Astyanax mexicanus: one gene and its partners. The protein of the gene in region 1 purifies or fractionates together with the protein of each later gene. This does not show direct contact. Links are inferred from orthologs where the notes say so. Each region holds a gene or a part of one and is shown on either strand. Other genes may lie near its edges.

Region 1 (7,471 bases):
CTATATGTGCTAATATTAAGGTACAGCAAAGAGCTACTACATGTTTCAATATTAAAGTACGATGAAGAAATACTGTACAAATACCATTAAAGTAATACATTTTGCAATGCTAAGATACTATCAAATACTATAAAAGAGATATTACTAAAAGTTCTGTTCTTTCAGTAGTAGTTGCAATACTCAATGTTCTAATACTATGGTACTACAAGGACTACAATTACTATCTCTAAACAAACTAAGATACACCTTTTATGCATATTTAAAACCCAATTTCTATCTATTTAGTGGATGTTACATAAAAAAAATATGTAAAATATTTAATATGTTTTAATGTTCCTTTTTATGCAATATGCTACATTCAACAAAAACAGTAAGGCAATTAAACTGTAGAATGTGCAGAAGTGCGTCTCTTTTACAGATCTGACATGATTTAACTGGGTGTGCCCCAACTTGTGCATATTACCAACCCTGAGCCCACTTTCCTCAAAAACATCTTAGTGTTGAGATCATTTGAATTGGTGGAGAGTAGAGAGAGTGTTTAGTGTTCAGTGTGATGCTCGCTTCACCATCTAAGAATCAGCTTTGTTCTGGGATACTTTCAGGAAACCTAGATCTGCAGATTAGAGCTTCAGTTAGAGTGAAAATCACACAGTATATCCAAATATGTCCAGATGTTTGTGGACACCTTTTCTAATGAATGCATTTATCTATGGCCATGGGCTAAAGGGGTATAAAGCTCCCAGTATTGGGCTGTGGAGAAGAGGAACTGTCCAATAGTCCAGTAGTTCTAGGATGAGGGAAGGGATGAGCTGGATGAGAGAATGAGGATGAGGAGATACAATGAATGAATGCCGTGAAGGCTCTCTATGGACAGTAGAGAAAGTTACTCCAAATACAAAGAAGAATAATACATCTTTTTGTTAGTACTGGCAAAATCAATGAATGAACAGGTGTCCCAACTATGGACCCTTTTGTCCATAGTGTTTTTTTGACCATATGGTGTTAAGTGGGTTCAGTTCTTTGTTCTTTCATTTCTTTGTATCTCTCACTTTATTCCCAAGTCAACTGTTGGCTTTTTGTGCCACATTAAGTTTGTGTCGTATCGTTACATCCCTATCAAATATTATTGTGATACTACAAACACTTGATGATATTCTGTATCAAAATCAAGCATCATAACCTGACGTGCATGTGTATCGTCACCACCCTTTGCACCCTTTGCACTGTGAAGCCTGCAGGAAGTTCAAAGCAAAAGTGTAGATCGCACTCGTTCACTGATACACTGCACAACGTACACTCAGCTTAACAGCTAAACTAGCTGTGTTCTGATGTAGGCAACTATAAATAAAATCTAAAGTAATTCATAATAGGCTTAAGTTCCCCAATCATTCTTAGGAACAAATCCACATATAAAGCCCACTTATGCCCTTTTTTTGTACGAAGAATCTGATATTCACTTTTTTTTTTCAGTTTTCTTATCTGAATTTTGCTCTTAAGAATGTCAACTTTTGTAACCCTTTCCAGCTTCATGGTGGAAGTCAACAATTTTAGAATGTAGGTCTTCTGAGAGCTCTTTGAGCTTGTGTGAGGCATGATTCACATCAAGCAATGCTTCTTAAGAACAGCAAACTCAAAACTGGTGTGAGTTTTTTTTTTATAGGGCAGGGCAGCTTTAACCAAGACATCAACAACCTCATCACATCCTCTTAGAAAAGTCATTAGCCTAGGGGTTCACATACTTTTTCCCTCCCTCAATGTAAATTTTAACATGATGTGTTCAATAAAATCATGCAAATGTAATATAATTGTTTGTGTGGCATTAGTTTAAGCAGACTGTGTTTGTCTATTGTTGTGCCTTAGATAAAGATCAAAGCCCAAATCCCAAAGTGTTCAAATCCTGTTTCTTGCAACTGCAAGTTGATAAAGCCCAGCCTTGTTCAGTGATTGCTCTGTTAATCGCTCTATTTAAGGGCTTCTTATCAAAATAGCATGTCTGTTACTTGCGTGAAGAACTTGCCAAGCACACTTTTGAGAAGACAGCGCAGAAAATTATACATCAGTACCTCAATATCAAGGTTTAGGCTACCAGGACTATATTTAGGACCAGCACTTCAAAGCCATACTTGATGGTCAAATTCAGTGTCCCCACCTATGCAGGTATTTTTCACCCTTGTTTTTTTTTTTTTTTTAGCCACTGGGATTTAAATATTTTAGCAGGAAATGGCAGACCGGATGAGTGTATCACAGCCATTCATCAGCTGCGCTTTCACACAAGTTTTGAATGGTATAATACAGTACATTGCTTTCCTTTGCTTTCCAAGAGCAGCTGCTCTTATTTTTCTAGAAAATTGCAGGTTTCTATGCTAAAACACAGATTTTTTTAAGAACACAGCTTCAGAACATGTCGTGAATCCGGCGTAGATTGTTCTTAGTAAGTTAAAACATAAAAACAGACCTCAGAAAACTCTTAATAAAATATTGATGAATGAAGCCCAATGTTTGTTAAAGATATGGGAGCCTCTGCAACAGTGATGAGCTGTACAACACCCAGTTCACCTACTTCCTCAAACCTCCAGCCGCACCTCACCCCACCACTTTGTGCTCTTTGCTCTGCATGGCTTTGACTCATTAATGGACTGCAGCGGTCATTTAACTGTAGCCGAGCTCTTCTAGCAAGAAGAAGCTGTAGAGTAGAACCTGAACATCCAGAGCTCAAAAACTGGAAATGAAGGATGCTTCATTAGTACACAAAGGAATGGAACACACAAAACTGTGTGCAAAGAGAGAGTAAGGTGTTCATGCATTTGGCTGAGGTAAAAACAAAAGGGTGAAAGCGTGGTCAAAAACATGGTAAAGGAACTGAAGGAGGTACAGTACCTGCAGATGAGGAGTCGTGGAAGGCCGAGTGCTGGGCTGAGGGCTGGGCTCTGGCTGGTTCAGGCGCAGAGAGAGAAGTGTGCAGTGAGCGCAGGGCGGCACTGGCAGCAGGAGATGTGCGTTCAGATCACAGAGAGGAAGTGAAAGTCGGAGAGCTGCAGATGAGAATCTCCTCCTCTTTCTGCTTTTCTTTTCCTTTTAAAGAGCGTCGAGCGGCTCGAGCCGCAGCAGATGACACTGTGACTCTTCTGTGTGGCCCTCCTGTCTCCCTCCCTGCACGCGCCATGTGACTCGGCGGGGACCTGCAGCCCGGAGCCTCGCGCTGATTTTAAACTGCCCGTGCTGAAGTCAGTTCACGAGCCTCTACTGACTGAAGCTCCTCGGTGTTCAGTCTGAGAGACTAACTTAATGCTCACTGCATGTTCAAATATTTGTGGATACGCCCTCTAATTAAAGCATTCGGCTGCTTAAAGGACCAGTATGTATTAGATTTTCCTATTATAGTGATCAGGTTCAGATACAGTGGCTTGCACAAGGACATTTTCACATGTTGTCACCTTACAACCACAATTTTTTATGTATTTTATTGAGATTTTCAATGATAGACCAACACAAAGTAGCACATAATTGTGACTTAGTAGAGCCTACTTTTGTTGCAATTACAGCTGCAAGTCTTTTGCGGTTTATCTCTACCAGCTTTGCGCATCTAGAGACTGAGATTTTTGCCCATTCTTCTTTGCAAAATATCTCAAGCTCATCCAGGTTGGAAGAAGAAAAGCATCCCCAGAGCATGATGCTCCCACCCCCATGTTTCACAGTGGGAATGGTGTATTTAAACCCCTTGAACTTTGTGACTTTTTGTCACCTTACAATCACAAATTTTCAATGACAGACCAAGACAAAGTAGCACATCATTGTTAAGTGGAACAAAAAATGATACATGATTCATGAGAGACGTAGTAGAGCCTCCCTTTACTTACAATTACAATTACAAGTCTTTTGGAGTTTGTCTCTACCAGCTTTGTGCATCTATAGATTGAGATTTATGCCCATTCTTCTTTGCAAAATATCTCAAGCTCAGCCAGGTTGGATGGAGAGTGTCTGTGAACAATAATTTTCATGTTTTGCTTGATACTTAATGGGATTTAGGTCCATTCTAACAAATAAATGTTCTTTCAGCTCTGGCTGTGTGTTTAGGGTCATTGTCTTGCTGGAAGGTGTGTCTCCTTCCCAGTCTCAAGTCTTTTGCAGGATTGCCCTGTATTTACCTCCATCCATGTTCCAATCAACTCTTTCCAGCTCCCCTGCCCTGATGCTGCCACCACCATGTTTCACATGGTGTGATAAGCAGTGTTACTGTTCTGCCAAATATTACGCTTTGCATGTAGGCCAAACAGTTACACTTTTGTTCTTATCTGACCACAGCACCTTCTTCCACGTTTCCACGTCCCCTACATGACTTGTTGCAAACTTTAAACAGGACATCTTATGTCTTTTTTTCAACAATGAATTTCTTCTTGCCATTCTTCCATAAAGACCAGATTTGTGAAATGCTCGATTTATAGTTGTCCTGTGGACAGATTTTCTCACCTGAGCTCTGGATTTCTGCAGCTTCTCCAGAGTGACCATGGGCCTCTTGACTGATTCACTGACCAGTGCTTTAATTGCTCGATCTGTCAGTTTGAGTGGACGACCATGTCTTGGTTGGTTTGCAGTTGTAGAATACTTTTCCCATTTTTGGATGGTGAACTGAACAGTGCTCCTTGCAATGCTGAAAGTTTGGGGAATGTTCTCCACGATTTTATCTCTGACCTGTCTGGTGAATTCCTTGGTCTTCATGATGCTGTTTGTTCACTAGTGTTCACTAACAATCCACTTCACAGAACAGGTGTATTTAAACTAAGACTAAATCACACACCACTAAACACTATTAACTAATTAGGTGACTGAAGGCAATTGATTGCGCTCTATTTTATTTAGGGGTTTCAGAGTAAAGTGGGCTGAATGCTTTTGCTTGTCACTCTTTTCAGATTTGTATTTTGTAACGGGTACAGCTACGCTGCCCCTTTAAGAGATGGTAGCTTTTTTTTATGTGTATGTATACAGGGTTTTTTTCCCATGAGGGCTAGTAGTAGAGAGACCCCGAGGAGAGGAGGGTGAGCTCGGACTGCAACTTTATGCTGCCCCTCCATTTTTGATACTCTGTACTACTCCAAGTGACGTTGATAAGAATACTGTATTTTTCTTTTGTGTATAAATAGAATGAGTAGCAGCCGTGTGACCTGGCTTCGTATGGTCTGTGGTGCTAATAAATTAGCCCTTTGTGAAGCCCACTCCTGTGTATGTGTACTGTGTGCTAACAGCTAACTAGCTACCCACCACGCAGCCTCCAGGCCCGGAGCTTCTAAATCCTGTGCTAAAGATAAAGTCTGTGGGAATTCAGCGTTACAATTTGATTAAACTTTTGAAAACCATGTACAGTGAGTCCAAGAAGTATTTGATCCCTTGCTGATTTCCTTCGTTGGCCCACTAATAAAGACATGATCATTCTATACTTTTAATGGTAGATGTATTCTTACATGGAGAGACAGAATATTAAAAAGAAAATCCAGAAAATAAATCTAAGGAATATATATTAATTGATTTGTATTTCATGGAGTGAAATAAGTATTTGATCCCTTAGTATTCATTAGCAGTTCTGGCTTTTACAGACCAGTTAGACACTCCCAATCAACTTGTTACCTGACCTGAAGCCACCTGTTCTCACTAATCACTTGTGTGAAAAACACCTGTCCACAGAATCAGACAGATCACACAGATTTCAAGTCTCCAACATGGATAAAACCAAAGAGCTGTCACAGGACCTCAGAGTCAGAATTGTTGACCTTCACAAAGCTGGAATGGGCTACAAAAAGATTAGTAAGGTGTTGGATGTGAAAGTAACAACTATTGGTGCAATTATCAGAAAGTTTAAAGAGTATAACATGACAATCAACAGACCTCGGCCCGGTGCTCCAAAGCCTCAACTCCACCCGCCATGTGTGGAGGAAGAAAAATGCTGCCTATGACCCCAAGAACACTGTGCCCACCGTCAAGCATGGAGGTGGAAGCATAATGTTTTGGGGGTGTTTCTCTGCCAAGGGTACAGGGCTACTTCACCGCATCACTGGGAAGATGGATGGAGTCATGTACCGCACAATCCTGAGGGACAACCTCCTCCCCTCTGCCAGGGATCTGAAAATGGGCCGTGGTTGGGTCTTCCAACATGATAACGACCCTAAACATATAGCAAAGGCAACAAAGCATTGGCTCAAGAAAAATCACATTAAGGTCATGGAGTGGCCCAGTAGCCAGTCGCCAGACCTCAATCCGATCGAAAATCTATGGAGGGAGCTGAAGGTCAGAGTTGCCAAGCGACAGCCCAACAACCTTCATGATTTAGAGAGGATCTGCAAAGAAGAGTGGGCCAAAATTCCCCCTGGTGTGTGTGCTAAACTTGTGGTTAACTACAACAAACGTCTCACCGCTGTGCTTGCAAACAAAGGCTTTGCCACTAAGTATTGAGTGTGTTTGGCAAGAGGGATCAAATACTTATTTTCCTCATTGAAATACAAATTAATTAAAATATATTCTTTAAAATTATATTCTGGATTTTTGTCTTGATATTCTGTCTCTCCATGTTAGAATATATCTACCATTAAAAGTGCAGAAGGATAGTGTCTTTATTAGTGGGCAAACAAAGAAAATCAGCAAGGGATCAAATACTTCTTGGACTCACTGTATCATTGCTCCACAATTACGCACTACTTTGTGTTGGTCCGTCAGTGGTAAGTTTGCGGTTGTAGGGTGACAAAATGTGAAAGAATTCAAGTTATATGAATATTTTTGAAAGCCACTCTATTTCTATATTTAAGTCCATCAACCTTACTTGCGTTTAAAGTGTTTTCACACTTGTGCTGACTAAATGAGTCCACACTCAGGTCCCAATCTGGGCTTGTTTGAATAGAACGTGCATGATGGTCCACTGTAAAGCTCCTCCAAACCAGCAACCAGAGTATTATCCATACAGTGCATCACAAGATGAGCGTTTAGGCTCTCAGTTAGCACACTCAGTCCACAGAGATACATCTCTCCAATCATCTCTCTAGTTCTGACCATCTTCCCTGTCCCCGCTGAAGAAAAGCATTCACACAGCATGATGCTGCCACCACCATGCTTCACAGTGGAGATGGGGTGTTCAGGGTGATGAGCATTTTCAGATGTTAATTTGAATAAATAAAATTTTGAAAACCATGTATTATTTTCGTTCCACTTCACAATTATGTGCTACTTTGTGTTGGTCTATCACTTAAAATATTAATAAAATAAATGTAAGTGTGTGGATGTAAGGAGACAAAATGTGAAAAAGATTGAAGGGTATGAATACATTTGCAAGCCACTCTGTTGGGTGATTTTGATAATCGACTTCCATTTAAGTATGAATTAATGAAGTTCAACTTATATAGCGCCTCTCTAGAAACCCAAGGACGCTTTACAATTTACACGTTTTACACACAAGCACATTACACATCCACACTCATCCACACACCGGTGA
Region 2 (7,420 bases), on another chromosome or scaffold:
GATACCACAGAACACTGAATTTAAAAAAATATATAAAAAATACACTACTGCAACAAAATGAAAAAAATAAATGTTATTATTGCATATGATATGTTACGGCACACCCCTAACTGAGACATTAAAAAATATATAAGATTTTAACAGGACTAATAATGCACTCCATATATCTCAATATATCCATGATTAAAGTAAAATAAATGATACTGGGCAGATAAAATCTCCAGTAGATATATAATGGGAAACGAGAACAGTGTGAATTTTTCTTTTGCTAAAAACAGTTGAAAAAAAGAAGGAGTACCCTGATGTGATAATTAGGGGTGGGTGATATGACACGATATTTCAGGGTATTATATCGTTCATGATATTCAAAAATGTTAGCAGATTTGTTATGGCACACCCCTATTCCCAATCTTGCTCTGATGGCTCCATGATGTGGGATTCACATGGGTGGAACACAGGCTAGGTGGGTTCAAGACATGGGCATGGGCTCTGAATGGGTTTGTACATGTGTTGTTACTGAGACACAGTTGGAATTCCCAAATGAGCTTCATCATTACAGCCCACCTTCATCTCGAGGGGACCCATCTATGTCCCATGTCTCTGTCTCATACTTTCTTACTCATGCACACTCTTCAATGTTCAATGTTTCTGCCTTGTTGTAACTGACCAGAGCTCGGAGCTGGGACAGGATGTTGGAGACGGTGGCGTTGGGGTCATCATGCTCCTGTGGTGTTTCAAACGGCCGTCCACACAGTGTTATAAGCCAGGCTGCAATCACACTGAACATGTAGAACTGCTCACCCGTGTTGCTCGCTGTGTATGGACTCGACACAAAATAATGCCTGAGAAAAATAGGAACAGTGAGGAGGACAAGAGAAAGAAAAAGACAAGGACAAAGAGAGAAACACAGACAAAATGAGGACAATCAATGTTATATTATTAATATTATAACTAATACAGGGGTTGGACAATGAAACTGAAACACCTGTCATTTTAGTGTGGGAGGTTTCATGGCTAAATTGGAGCTGCCTGGTGGCCAATCTTCATAAATTGCACATTGCACCAGTAAGAGCAGAGTGTGAAGGTTCAGTTAGCAGGGTAAGAGCACAGTTCTGCTCTAAATATTGCAATGCACACAACATTATGGGTGACATACCAGAGTTCAAAAGAGGACAAATTGTTGATGCAGGTCTTGCTGGCGCATCTGTGACCAAGACAGCAAGTCTTTGTGATGTATCAAGAGCCACGGTATCCAGGGTAATGTCAGCATACCACTAAGAAGGACCAACCACATCCAACAGGATTAACTGTGGACGCTGTAAGAGGAAACTGTCTGAAAGGGATGTTTGGGTGCTAACCCGGAGTGTATCCAAAAAACATAAAAGAACCTGATCAAATCACGGCAGAATTCAATGTGCACCTCAACTATCCTGTTTCCACCAGAACTGTCCGTCGGGACAATAAATTATTGTGGTCTAAAACCAGGTGTTTCAGTTTCATTGTCTAACCCCTGTACAACTGGCAGGATTATTTTTATGTAGAGCTGCTCTAAAAAGCAACAATAATCAGTGTTTTAGCAAAATATTCCACAAGATCCTACAGTAGCATTACAGTAGTATGAAAAGGTTTTGGCACCCCTGATCATTTTCAGGATTTCCTTTCATAAATTTTTGGTTGTTTGGATCAGCAATTTTAGTTAAATGTATCATATAGCAGACGAACACAGTGACATTTGAGAAGAGAAATTAAGTTTATAGGATTTACAGAATGTGTGCAATAATTCTTCTATCACAATAAGACAGATTAGGCAGAATTTGGAGGTCCTTGTGGTTTTATTGTTTTGAATCTGATTTTGCTATTTATAGATATATGTTTAAGTTGTTTTATTCTATAAACTACAGGCAACAATTCTCCCAAATTCCAAATATAAATATTGTCATTTAGAGAACTTATTTGCAGAAAATACCATTTTAGAGCTTTTAGACCTCAAATAATGCAAAGAAATCAATCAAAGAATTTAGAAATCAATATTTGTTAGAATAAACGTAGTTTTAATCACAGTTTTCATGCATCTTGGCATGTTCTGCTTTTGGGTAACTTTATGCCTTTAATCCTGGTGCAAAAAATCAAGAAGTTCAGCTTGGTTTGATGGCTTGTGATCATCCATCTTCCTCTTGATTATATTCCAGAGGTTTTTCATTTGGTAAAATCTAATCATTTTAAGTGGTCTCTTATTTTTTTCCAGAGCTATATATACATGTATTTTTACGGGCTTAGCTTTAAATACTGGCTAAATAACATTACATGAAGATAGCTACATGACTTGCTGAATTTACTCAACAGTGGCCGATCCAGGTCCAGAAAGTACTGATCCACCCCCAGGATTTAGTTCCAACTGTCTGGGTGGCTCTGAGCTGCAGCAGAGCCGCTCAGGTAGTTGGAACGAAATCCTGGGGTGGACAGGTACTTTCTGGACCTGGATCCAGAAACAAAATAGCCAGCTAAGGCTAATAACAATGCTATAATAAGCTAGTCTATCTCATTTTTTGTTGTTTTAACTCGCCGAACTCTTACCTGGACAGCGTTTTCATGTTGTGTTTAACCAGAACATGTTCCTCATAATCCAGCAGCTTCAGTTTATCCAGCATATCCTCCATAACCACAAACATCTGAAATTGAGCTCCTGGACCCCGTTCATCCTCCTCCACTCTTCTACCATCTTCTGCCATACTGTACACTAAACTACAGCGGGTTAGAGAGCTGTAGTTTACTCGTCAGATGGGTAAATTAAAGCCTCTTTTGTGCTGTAGAAGGGTGTACAGTTAGCTAGGTTAGCTAAGTTATCCCGCTAGCCGCTGCTAATGCTGGGCTGGTGTCTGTGCGGTTTGTTGTAGTTACTGTTGGCAGCTTAGTTTAGCCTGTAGCTCACTACAGGGTTGCCAGGTCTAAAAACATAACCAGCCCAAAGTCAGTTTAGAACCCGCCATTCAGAAGCTTAAACTAGCCCAAAATATACAGCTCTGAAAAAAATAAGAGACCACTTAAAAATGATGAGTTTCTGTGATTTTACCAAATTGAAAACATAATGTAATATAATCACGAAGGAAGATGGATGATCACAAGTCATCAAACCAAGCTGAACTGCTTGAATTTTTTGCACCAGGAGTAAAGGCATGAAGTTACCCAAAAGCAGTGTGTAAGACTGGTGGAGAAGAACATGATGCCAAGATGTATGAAAACTGTAATTAAAAACAGGGTTATTTCACCAAATATTGATTTCTGAACTCAAATATGAATATGAACTTGTTTTCTTTGCATTATTTGAGGTCTGAAAGCTCTGCATCTTTTTTGTCATTTCAGCCATTTCTCATTTTGTGCAAATAAAACTTTGAATGACAATTTTTTTCAGGAATTTGGGAGAATTTGGCCGTAGTTTATAGAATAAAACCACAATGTTTATTTTACTCAAACATGTACCTATTAAATAGCAAAATCACTGAAGTCGTCTCTTAATTTTTTTCCAGAGCTGTCTGTCTCACGGCTTAGTATTTACTTACAGTCATTAATAATAGTGTTACATTAGTATTTTTTATTAGTTATTTTATAACAGTTTTATATCACAGTCAAGAACATTTAATAATAACATAAATAGCAAAAAATAAAATAAAATTACTTACTCTTTTCTATTCCTGCCCCTCCTGAACTTTCTTCACTCCTCTTCATTATTTTTAATTGCCTAGTGATTTCTGGTTACACTATGTTTTTTTTTTTTTTTTTTGGGTGGGGGGGGGGTGTGACTTTTTGTTTTTGTTTTTTGGTGGCCGCGGTAATTTTTAAAAGAAGCCCGAAAAACGCACCCCGCCACCCCTGAATTTTCACCCGCGACTGGATTTTCAAACAAGCCCAATTTGACGGAAAAACCGTGAACCTGGCAACTCTGGCTCACTAACTGTTGTTCAGTAACGTTTAGCAGTAATACCTGCACACTACAAAAACACTCAGTTATGTCAATAAAAATGGTCAATTAGATCAGACATTTAGAAAATACAGGCGGGTTTGTATTAGTCAGTCAATAGATAGACAATTTCATATAGAATAAATAGAAATAGAAATATAGCTAGACTCGTCAACACTGTATATAACACTTATTTAATTTCCTGGCAATACATATTTCTTTTTTCCTCTGATAAGATTGTTTTTCTTACTAAGCACTGTATAAATGTAAGATTTTTTTTTCTTAGCTTATTTTAGGAATAATTAGGCTTTTTTCCCTTATGTTAGCACAAAATAAGCACAAAAATTATCTAATTGTAAGGAAATAAACCTTTTTTTATCTGATAAATATTTTTGTTTTACTAAGCACTGTGTAATGTTAACATTATTTTGACTATTATAGGAATAATTAGGAGTTTTCACATTATTTAAAGTAATTTGAACTCGAAACAAGCACAAAAAGTGAAATGATTGAATTTTAAGGCAACAAATCTTATTTTTGTCTCTGAAAAGATTGGTTGTCTTACTAAGCACTGTGTATAAGTATAAGAATATTTGCTTATTTTAAGAATAATTTTCACATTGTTTCATGTAATTTGAAGTCACAATATGCACAAAATGTGAAATTATCTAATTTCAAGGCAATCATTTTTTTTTCTCTCTGATAAGAATCTTTATCTCACTAAGCATTGTGTATGTGTAAGATTGTTTTGCTTATTGTAGGAATACTCAGTCTAACTTAGAATTTTAGAACTCAAAAAAGCACAAAGAATCACCGGTCAAGTTAATTTAATCCTTGAATCCATATTTAATCCAAAAAATCAGTTATTTTTTTATTGATTTAAGTTCTACTCCACTCATTTTGAGACAAATGTCTCCATACGTCTGTGAAATATTTATTTAAATTTTTTACAAACATTGTATAATACAATTTTTTTTAATTAACACATTATAAAAATATAGATCTACTTTAAAGGCCTTTAAAGCTTTATTTGATGTGGGAAGGTTTTTGCTGCTTAGTTAAGTTGAATGATTCTTTCAGGGGATTAAATAACCTTTTTTAAATTGTGTTAAAAATGTATAAAGTTTTTAGGCACTGACATTTTTAATTTAGCTTTTTATATACATATATCAAACTATTTAAATGTTTCCAAGAATTCCCTGTCCATTCTGTCATTTTGGGATAACCCCGCCCCTTTAACATAACGTTTTACATCAGTGATACCATAACCTTAAGAAACTTAAGACACTTGTTGCATGTTCAGCAATTTAATTTAATATGAATCACATTATTTCCATATTAAGCTGTGTTTAAGCTCAAGCTGTCCACAGTCTTTTAGTAAAATATCTCAGTAATTATCTCAGTATCTTTGAAACAGAACTACCTCACCATGAACATTCAAACATGCCAGTTTTCAACAAATGCCAGTTTTCTCTTAAATTGTCCATTCTGTAACTGTCCATCCTGTCACTGTCTACTCTGTCGTGCAGCTTGCAATGGGTGAATGCATGCATGACAGAAAGTATCGTTCCTGTGTAGTCTGAAGTAAAATATCATTCTTGTGTAGTCTTATAAATATAAAAAATAGTCAAAAGACGGCAAAAAGGCAGAGTATTCTGGCCAGATTAGCAAAATAATCAGTTTACAGTGTGCAAAAAAGTGCTTAAAAGACTAAAGACCATGCAACAGTGGGCCCACAATTCAAAGCAAACCTACCTACCTACCTGTTAAACATGGTGGTGGAGGTGTCATGGATCGGGCATGGCTGCCACAGATATTTTGACCCATTTTATTGATGATGTAACTGTTAAAAACAGTAGTACAATTAATTGTGAGGTATATAAGAATATCTTATTTGCTCAAGTTCCCGTAAATATCTCCAAACTCACTGTGTGGTGCTTTTTTACTATAGCAAGATCATTCCAGACATAGTTCTCTGGCACCATTGTTGTTTTTCAAAGAATACAAAGTGATTTGTTTTAGTTAGCTAATGCTGGCAGGAAATGAAGGATGTGCCATGATTGATGGAATAATGAATAATGAATTATGCCAGCAAATCCTCATGGAAACTAATAGTATTAATATTATTATTAATATTACTTTTGTCTGCGCTAAATCTCAAAAAAAGGTGGGTTATGCAGCAAGACAATGACCCTAAGTGCATGAGTCATTCTAGCAAAAAATGGACGAAGAAGATCAAAGTGAATATTTTGGAACGGGATCTGGCCAAAATCCTGATCTTAATCCAGTAAAAAAGAAAAATTGTGGAAGGAGCTGAAGCAGCAGAAACCCACCAACATTCCAGAATTGAAGATGTTCTGTATGGAGGAATGGGTTAAAATTCCTCCAAGCCGACATGCAGGACTGATGAACAGTTCAAAACAGCAATTTTATGATGTTTTAATGATAATATCTGTACTGAATTTCAAGTAGGATTTACGCTTTTATTTAAGAAATATATGTATGTTTTTGTATTACTGCTAAGACTATCAAGATATCAAATGCATATCGGCATTTAAACATGCGTGTATCAATGAGTGTGTGTGGGTTTCATAGAGAGAGAGATAGAGAGAGAGAGAGATAGAGAGAGAGAGAGAGAGAGAGAGAGAGAGAGAGAGAAAGAATTCCAGTAGAGCTGCTCAGCTGTTCATATTTATTTCAAGTAATCTTTTTTTAGCAGACATGTCAGATACACACAAACACACACACACACACAGTAACGCAGTTTATCTGCTATATGTATACACTGCCTTTTAAGGTTTAAGTGGAGGTTTTAATTGGGCAAAGTTTATTTTTAATTTACTTTTAAAAAGTTACAGATTTTTCTGTGGTAAAGTCAGTATAACTTCTCAAAGCTTAAAATGTCAGGAAAAAATATTTCAGCTGTTCCTTGATCATCTTGTTGTTGAGCTTTTGGCGCTCATTAGTTGCCCAGACATATTTAGCATCTGCACTAATTTGGCAAATGATAAGACAGGACATTTTTATAACAATAGGAGTGGCACACGTAAGCTCATGTTGGCTTTATCTTACTGTTTTTCATTCTTAACCATTTAACTATGCTGAAATAATAAAAATGAGTCATTCCATTTCTCATTTCTCTCCCATTTACATACATGTTTGGTCTGTGTATGACTTATATTGAGGACGACAAATACACTCATTGACAAAAATAATGATAATAATAATAATAATAATAATAATAACGCACCAAGAAAGAGTTGTTGGAATAGAATGAAGCTTCATACTGTATGTGTGAATGTAATGATGATACTGTATATGTAGGTGATTAAAATATTAGAGTAAAAGGATAAGTTTATTGAGAAAGTGAAAGTTGTCGTTCGGAGGCGTACAGATTCCATATGGCATCTTGTGGCATATTTGCCAACAGATGTTGTAGCTGGGTGTGTAGATCTTGCACACTCA
Region 3 (7,085 bases), on another chromosome or scaffold:
GAAGTGGGTGTGGCTTAAGCAGTAATTACTTGAGATGTTGGAGGTGGGTGTGGTCTAAAGCAGTAATAGGGTGAGGGGCTGGAAGTGGGTAGAGTTTATTAACGCTCTAAACATAAATTCTTTGACTACATTGCAATAATGAAATTTCTGAATATAATTAATAATAATTTAGTTTAGAAAGGTTAAATAAGAGAGCTCTATACTGTACCTATCTGCTTCATGTTACAGTTGAAGTCGATGCTGGTTACTGTGTCTCTGTGCCCTTTAAAGTTTCTCTGGAGGGATGGATCATCCTGAAAAAGCACAATATTAAAAGATAAAGGCACCAGGTTATTAACCCTAACACTAGCGCTATCACCCAGGTCAAATGTATAGCAATGTATATACTAGTGCATTTCAAAAAATGTGAATACCAAAAGTTGCTTTTATTTCAGTAATTATTTTCAAAATGCAAAACTCATATATAATATAAATAAATGCTTTACACACAGAGTGATCTATTTTAAGTGTTTATTTATTTCATTGTTGATAATAATGGAATTTTTAGCCAATAAAAAGCCAAACATCTGTGTCTCAGAAAATTAGAATATTATATAAGACCAATTGGTACTTTCTGCAGTGTGGGCAGTGTGCCAAGTCCTGCTGGAAAATGAAATCTGCATTTCCATAAAAGTTGTCAGCAGAGGGAAGCATGAAGTGCTGCAAGATTTTGTGGGAAAACAAAACTGTACTGACTTTAGACTTGATTTAACACAGTGGATCAACACCAGCAGATGACATGTCACTCCAAACCATCACTGCTCATCAGTACATTTTACATTTCATTTGTAAATCAAGGGATCAGAGTCTGGAGGAAGAGTGGAGAGACACCCAGTCCAAGCTGCTCGAGGTCTAGTGTGAAGTTTCCACAATCAGTGATGGTTTGTAGAGACATGTCATGTGCAGGTGTTGATCCACTGTGTTCTATCAAGTCTAAAGTCAGTGCAGTGTTTTCCCACAAAATCTTACAGCACATTTATGGAGATGCAGATTTCATTTTCCAGCAGGACTTGGCCCACACTGCAGAAAGTACCAATTGATCTTATATAATATTCTAATTTTCTGAGATACCGATTTTTGGGTTTTCATTGGCTGTAAGCCATAATAAACAACAATCACACGTCCAGAGCAACCTAGAGTCCATACCCAAGCCATGTATAATCTGATTTATGCAAATACATTACTTTGCAGCCACCTAGTAAGACCTTAGCAACCACTTAGCAACACCTAAGAAACAATATAGCAACTACCATGGACACCATAGCAACATCTTAGCAACCACCATAGCAACACCATAGCAACAACAGAGCAACCACTTAGGAACACCTTAGCAACTACCATGGACACCATAGCAACCACCACTGATACCATAGCAACACTTTAGCAACCACCTAGCTAATGTATTTGCATAGATCAGATTATGCAAATACATTATCTTAGCATCCACCTAGCAACACCTTACCAACCACTTAGCAACAATATCGCGACCACCACAGATACCATAGCAACACCTTAGCAACCACTTATAAACAACATAGCAACCAACAAGGATACAACAGCAACACCTTAGCAATTAGCTAGCAACCACATGGGACCACCATAGTAACCACCACGGATAACATGGTAACACTTAAGAAATCACCTAGCAACCGCTTAGCAACAGCTTAACAACCCGCACAGATACCCAAGCAACCTCTTTAGCAACCACCTAGCCACCGGTTAGCAACAACATAGCAACCTCCACAGCGAACAGTGGAATCAATTTTAGCTGCACAACTATCTTGTGTTAACTTTTCTAGTTAATTATGTTTTTCTTCATAATTTGGATTACTTTTATTTTTTATTTATTTATTTATACAACTGAACCTCGTTAAAGCTCTGAAATCAGTTTAAATGTTCAAGTAAATACGGTAAATGTGTATTTCATGTAATATGCAGCTCTGGAAAAAAATAAGAGACCGCTATAGTTTCTGAATCAGTTTCTATGATTCTGATATTTATAGGTATATATTTGAGAAAAATGAACACTCTTGTTTTATTTTATACACTACGGACAACATTTCTCCCAAATTGCAAAAAAACATTGACATTTAGAGGATTTAATTGCAGAAAATGAGAAATGAGTGAAATAACAATAAAGATGCAGAGCTTTCAGACCTCAAATAATGCAAATAAAACAAGTTCATATTCATAAAATGTTAAGAGGTCAGAAATCAATATTTGGTGGAATAACCCTGGTTTTTAATCACAGTTTTCATGCATCTTGGCATGTTCTCCTCCCCCAGTCTTACACACTACTTTTGGATAACTTTATGCCTGCACTCCTGGTGCAAAAATTCAAGCAGTTCAGTTTGGTTTTATGGCTTGTGATCATCCATCTTCCTCTTGTTTATATTCCAGATGTTTTTAATTAGGTAAAATCAACTCATTCATTTTAAGTGGTCTCTGTATTTTCAGAGGTCCAAAATCTGGATGATCCACAAACATAGATTAGCTAGTTTTAGTTAAAGCCAGTAAATAACTCACCATAGCGCAGCTCCTTTTCTTTATACACAGAGAAAGAGCAGATAGTCCACACACCCAGCCGATAAACTCACTGGCTAATGTTTAACATTACAATAAACAGAGTCACAGTAAATATAAGCAGATATTTTACTTATATTATATATGTGTTTTTATAAGGAGAGCTGAGTTACAGGTGGCGGTTGTTGTGGAGTTAGCATTAGCTACCTGGCTAACTAACGCTCCCCGGCTCCGTATCAGGTGTTCTCGGGTTTCTAAGAGCTAAAACCAGGCAAACTTCCCGGTTTTATTCACTTTGAACTGAATAGCCGTCTATCTGCGAGCTGTACTGAAATATCCGAATCTGTACAGAAAGTGTAAAGAAGTTCAGAGTGAGAGAAGCACTAGGAACTCGGCTCTGAGCCGCTTAGTAACGAAAACAAACCGCCGACAGATTTGTTTTCCGCGCCGACTTGTGAATGAATCATTTTACTGAATCGGTTCATTTTAATGAATCAAAACTATTAATAAATAGTTGACCGTTTTAATCACCCTGCTATGTATGGCAATGACATTTGTTTAAAGTAACTTATTTGTATGTAAATATATTGCTCTAGAAAGTAAAAAAAATCCATCCCAGGGTTTTGTACCAACTGCCTGGGCGGCTCTGCTTACCCACCTCTAATAATAATCGAAATTCTTTATTTAAAAAGCCATTTTCTTAAAATAAAAAGTTTGTTCAGAGTTAATTTAGCAAATATTTAAAAGTGATGTATTGTTAGAATTTTAATTGTAGATTTTTATAATCTATTAAATAATCACTTTAAAAATTAAAATACAACCAATTAAAAGAAAAAGTGACTGACTTCACTACTTCCCATTCATTCAAGTGACCGTTATGAAGAATCGGTTCGTTGAAATGAATCAAAGTTGGTCGCTAAGACAGATCTCCGCCATTATATCAGAGCATTACTGTTTTAACCGCTAGAGGGAGCCCGCGAGTGAGTCCAAAATGAATGGGGGTGAATGGAGCTAAACAACTAAACAAATTATAAATAAAATAAAAAATACGAATTACACTTAGCCAGGATATTCCTTTAATTTTGAAAATTATAATGATGTATTTTGCTAAAAATAAATAAAACGTACCTTAGTTTTTCTTCAGGAAACCGGTTTTAGGCAGTTAAGGTGCTCGTTACTGCAACTGTAGGCGGATACATAGCAAAAGCATGATTAAAAGGTTTATAACTGGAGTAAAAAAGCTTTAAAATTATGTTTTTCTGTACTAAAACAGGATATATTGTTCTGTGTTTAGAAAATGAGTACACTTTAAAAGCATTCAAATGATTCATTATTTACAATCTCCAATTTTGGTCAATTGCTCCATATGAAGCCATTAATTTTGGACTCACTCGACAGCGCCTCCTAGTGGTCAAATCTGACAAAGATTCACTAGTCTAGTGGGTATTCTCGCTACTAGAGATTTTCTGGGCGACTCCTGATTGGCCAGTATACAGTACGTGAGCATTTTTTTTTTAATCAAAATAAAAGCTCCCTGGAAGACAATATATTATATAAAATGATACGAACTGGAAATACAAATTATACATTAAATATAAATTACATTTAATAATACACATCAAAATAATTTCAAAAAAGTATATAATAATTTGGACAGAGACAGAGATTTAAAAGCGCAGACTGGAAGTCAGCATTGTGGAAACTGCAGTTTAATCAGACCCCCGCTAGAGGTCGGTAAATTGTAGGCTTAAATTTATTTATTTTTTATTTGACCTATAAATTAATACTTACACTTTTAATAAGAAAAAAAAACATAGATGGCTTTAAAATCATTTATTTAAATAAAATAATACTATTCATATATAGTTTTTCCAATATTTTTTCCTACCTCAACATTTAAGCCTGATAAAGGATGTTTGAATCATGATAAATGTATATTCACAAGATTCTAAAAAAAATAAAATAATTGGAATAAATAAATGTATATATATATATTATATGTGTAGAACAAGAGAACCAGTATATAACTGTATAACTGTATAGGCATTTGTACAGTTGTCATGTTCTATATACAGTACTGATAAAAAAGTATTTTCCCCGTTACAGATTTATTATTTGTTTGTTTGTGTTATTATATTTAAATTTTTCAGATTACTAAACAAACTTTAATATCAAACAAAGATAAATAAAAAAAACGTTTATAAATAACTATTTCATTTATTAAGGTAAATTATTAATTGCCTTTCCATGAATGAACTGTGATTAACTACATTTTGTGCAAAGCTAAATTAAATTTCACTACTGTCCAGTGTCCACAACCAGAAGCAGCTAAAAGATCTCAAAAAGCAACAATCTGCCCCAATATGAAAAAAAAAAAAAATCAACAGCAGGTGAGAAAACAGCAACTGAGAAACTCACTGATCTTGGAAAAGGTACAACTTCAACAATTTCTAAGGCTTTGGGACTCCAGCAGACCACCGTAAGAGCTACTATTTACTAATGGAGAAAACATGGAACACTGGTGAACCTGAACAACTCATCCGGGAAGTAACAAAAGAACCCAGAACAACATTTGAAGAAATACAGGTCTCACTTCTCTCAGTTAAGGTCAGTATTAATGATTCAATTATAAGAAAGAGACTGGTTGAAAATGGTATCCATGGGAGAGTCCAAAGCAAAAACCACTGTTGAACCAAAAGAAAACAAAGGCTTGTCTTACATTTGCCAACTTACTGATTAAAACCCTGACAACAGTCAACAGTCAGGCCTCCAATCCTATCTTAGCCATGCAGGAGCGCCATGTGCGTTGCGTGCCCTCAGCGTATACACCCACGTTTCTTACACACTTACACCACAATCCAGCTTTCACATCAACAATAAACAGAATAAAGAATAAAATAACATTGCTGTTCCCTTAAATGAGCTGCTGGCGTACCTTTACAGAGTGAACGAGCAAGTCAGGATCCTCTGCTGAGACACGCAAAAGCGCTGCGCTGTTAAGATACAAATGCGGTTTATTCAGTGGACAAATCTTCTGGACAAAAGTGCAATGAACAATGAAAAGGACAATGATTCAGTTTAAGGGTAGCAAAAAGACACCCAAACAGTGAAGGGTCCTGAGGGTTAGACTGGTGAAGGCTGTCTATGCTGGATATTCTGGCTGAGACCAAGAAAATACAGTTAGGTTATTTTTGCATAAGTCAGAACTCTAAGAACTCTTAAACTTCACTGTATAAGTGACGTTTTTTCGCTTAAACTGATTGATCTTTCTTTATTTTACATTATCTATTGCACTCCAAAAACCCTGTTTTGTCAGGAAGATTGATTTAACAAACTGGCAAAGCTATTTTTTTTTTTTAAATTGGGACTCATTTTTTCCTATGCTGTATTACAACATGAGCATCAGGATCCCATTTGACAAAATCTTTCAACCAATACTATCTGTTTGTGTGTGTGTGTGTGTGTGTGTGTGTGTGTGTGTGTGTGTGTGTGTGTGTGTGTGTATGTGGGATCTCAGAAAGAGCTCCACTCAGCAAACATGTTCTGGGAAAGAAGTGCAGGCTGACATGTTTAAATATTAGTTGTTCTGCTGAAGAGAAGGTGGCTCTGAGTTACTAGTAATTGGGTTAAACTGGGTTTCACAGAAGATAAGCACCAGCTCAAAGCTCAGCTCAGCTGAGTGTGTGTGTGTGTGTGTGTATGTGTGTGTCTGTGTGTAAATCCATAATCTATAATCAAAGATAATCAGAAACAAACGCCTTTTTATTCATTTATTTATTTATATTAAATAGAAATGCAGTATGTATAGCAGGTATTACATGTAGCATAACAAGAGCATGATAACTATTTTTACTATAATGAAATCAGTATAAAATCACCTCTTTCAGAAATGACAGTCTGGGTGGCATCATCATGAGTAATTAGTGCCCCAGCTGCCATAAACTGTGATTACTCAACATTTCACTATAAAACAGCAGCGTCCAGTAAAGACACACCAGTTTAGAGTCTAGCACCAGTTTCTGAGCACCAGTTAATCCTTTTTTTACAAATATATAAGTGCATTTTTATTTAAAACAAGAAAGAAAGAAAACAAGTATCACGTCACATGACTCACATGAGGTTCCCCTTGTGTTTTCAAGCATGATTGTTAAAGATATCAAGTAATTCAAAAAAACTCCTTTTTTAAAAAAAAAATACTTTCTTTGTGCTAAATTGCTTCATAAAGCAGAAATAAAACATGAGCTCTGATCTGACAAAGTGCACAAGTCATAAAGATAGCACGGTTCAAGTTATATCATCATTTCACATTATTTGAATGTTTACTCCAAGTAAAACGACCAGGACAGGTGCTGAAATATATAAAGGTAGAAATATAAATGCAGTTCATTAGAATTTACAGACACAGTAAAAAAAAAAAGAACAATGGAAATACACATTAAATTCAAATTTAAATTCAAATCAAGCCGCAGAAAGCTAATTCTTGTAAAATAGCACCATTAGTATCTCAGACTGAGAGTTCAGTC

What was found. Proteins that work in one complex are often made in the same cells at the same time.
Region 2: the proteins of coro1a (region 1) and ift57 purify together in Homo sapiens (affinity purification with mass spectrometry; 3 studies listed by BioGRID and IntAct, counting the BioPlex papers as one, with this or other methods). This does not show direct contact. The link is inferred for Astyanax mexicanus from reciprocal best matches to the Homo sapiens genes CORO1A and IFT57.
Region 3: the proteins of coro1a (region 1) and poc1a purify together in Homo sapiens (affinity purification with mass spectrometry; 3 studies listed by BioGRID and IntAct, counting the BioPlex papers as one, with this or other methods). This does not show direct contact. The link is inferred for Astyanax mexicanus from reciprocal best matches to the Homo sapiens genes CORO1A and POC1A.

What each region holds. Positions count from the first base shown.
Region 1 is NC_064426.1:19,145,148-19,152,618, forward strand, and holds the start of coro1a (coronin-1A), read right to left. Parts: upstream 3,026-7,471; 5' UTR 2,878-3,025; intron 1-2,877. UniProt on the Homo sapiens protein: May be a crucial component of the cytoskeleton of highly motile cells, functioning both in the invagination of large pieces of plasma membrane, as well as in forming protrusions of the plasma membrane involved in cell locomotion.
Region 2 is NC_064411.1:27,941,174-27,948,593, forward strand, and holds the start of ift57 (intraflagellar transport protein 57 homolog), read right to left. Parts: upstream 3,014-7,420; 5' UTR 2,730-3,013; coding exon 2,575-2,729; intron 843-2,574; coding exon 668-842; intron 1-667. UniProt on the Homo sapiens protein: Required for the formation of cilia. Plays an indirect role in sonic hedgehog signaling, cilia being required for all activity of the hedgehog pathway.
Region 3 is NC_064431.1:16,184,456-16,191,540, reverse strand, and holds the start of poc1a (POC1 centriolar protein homolog A), read right to left. Parts: upstream 3,014-7,085; 5' UTR 2,569-3,013; coding exon 2,566-2,568; intron 294-2,565; coding exon 209-293; intron 1-208.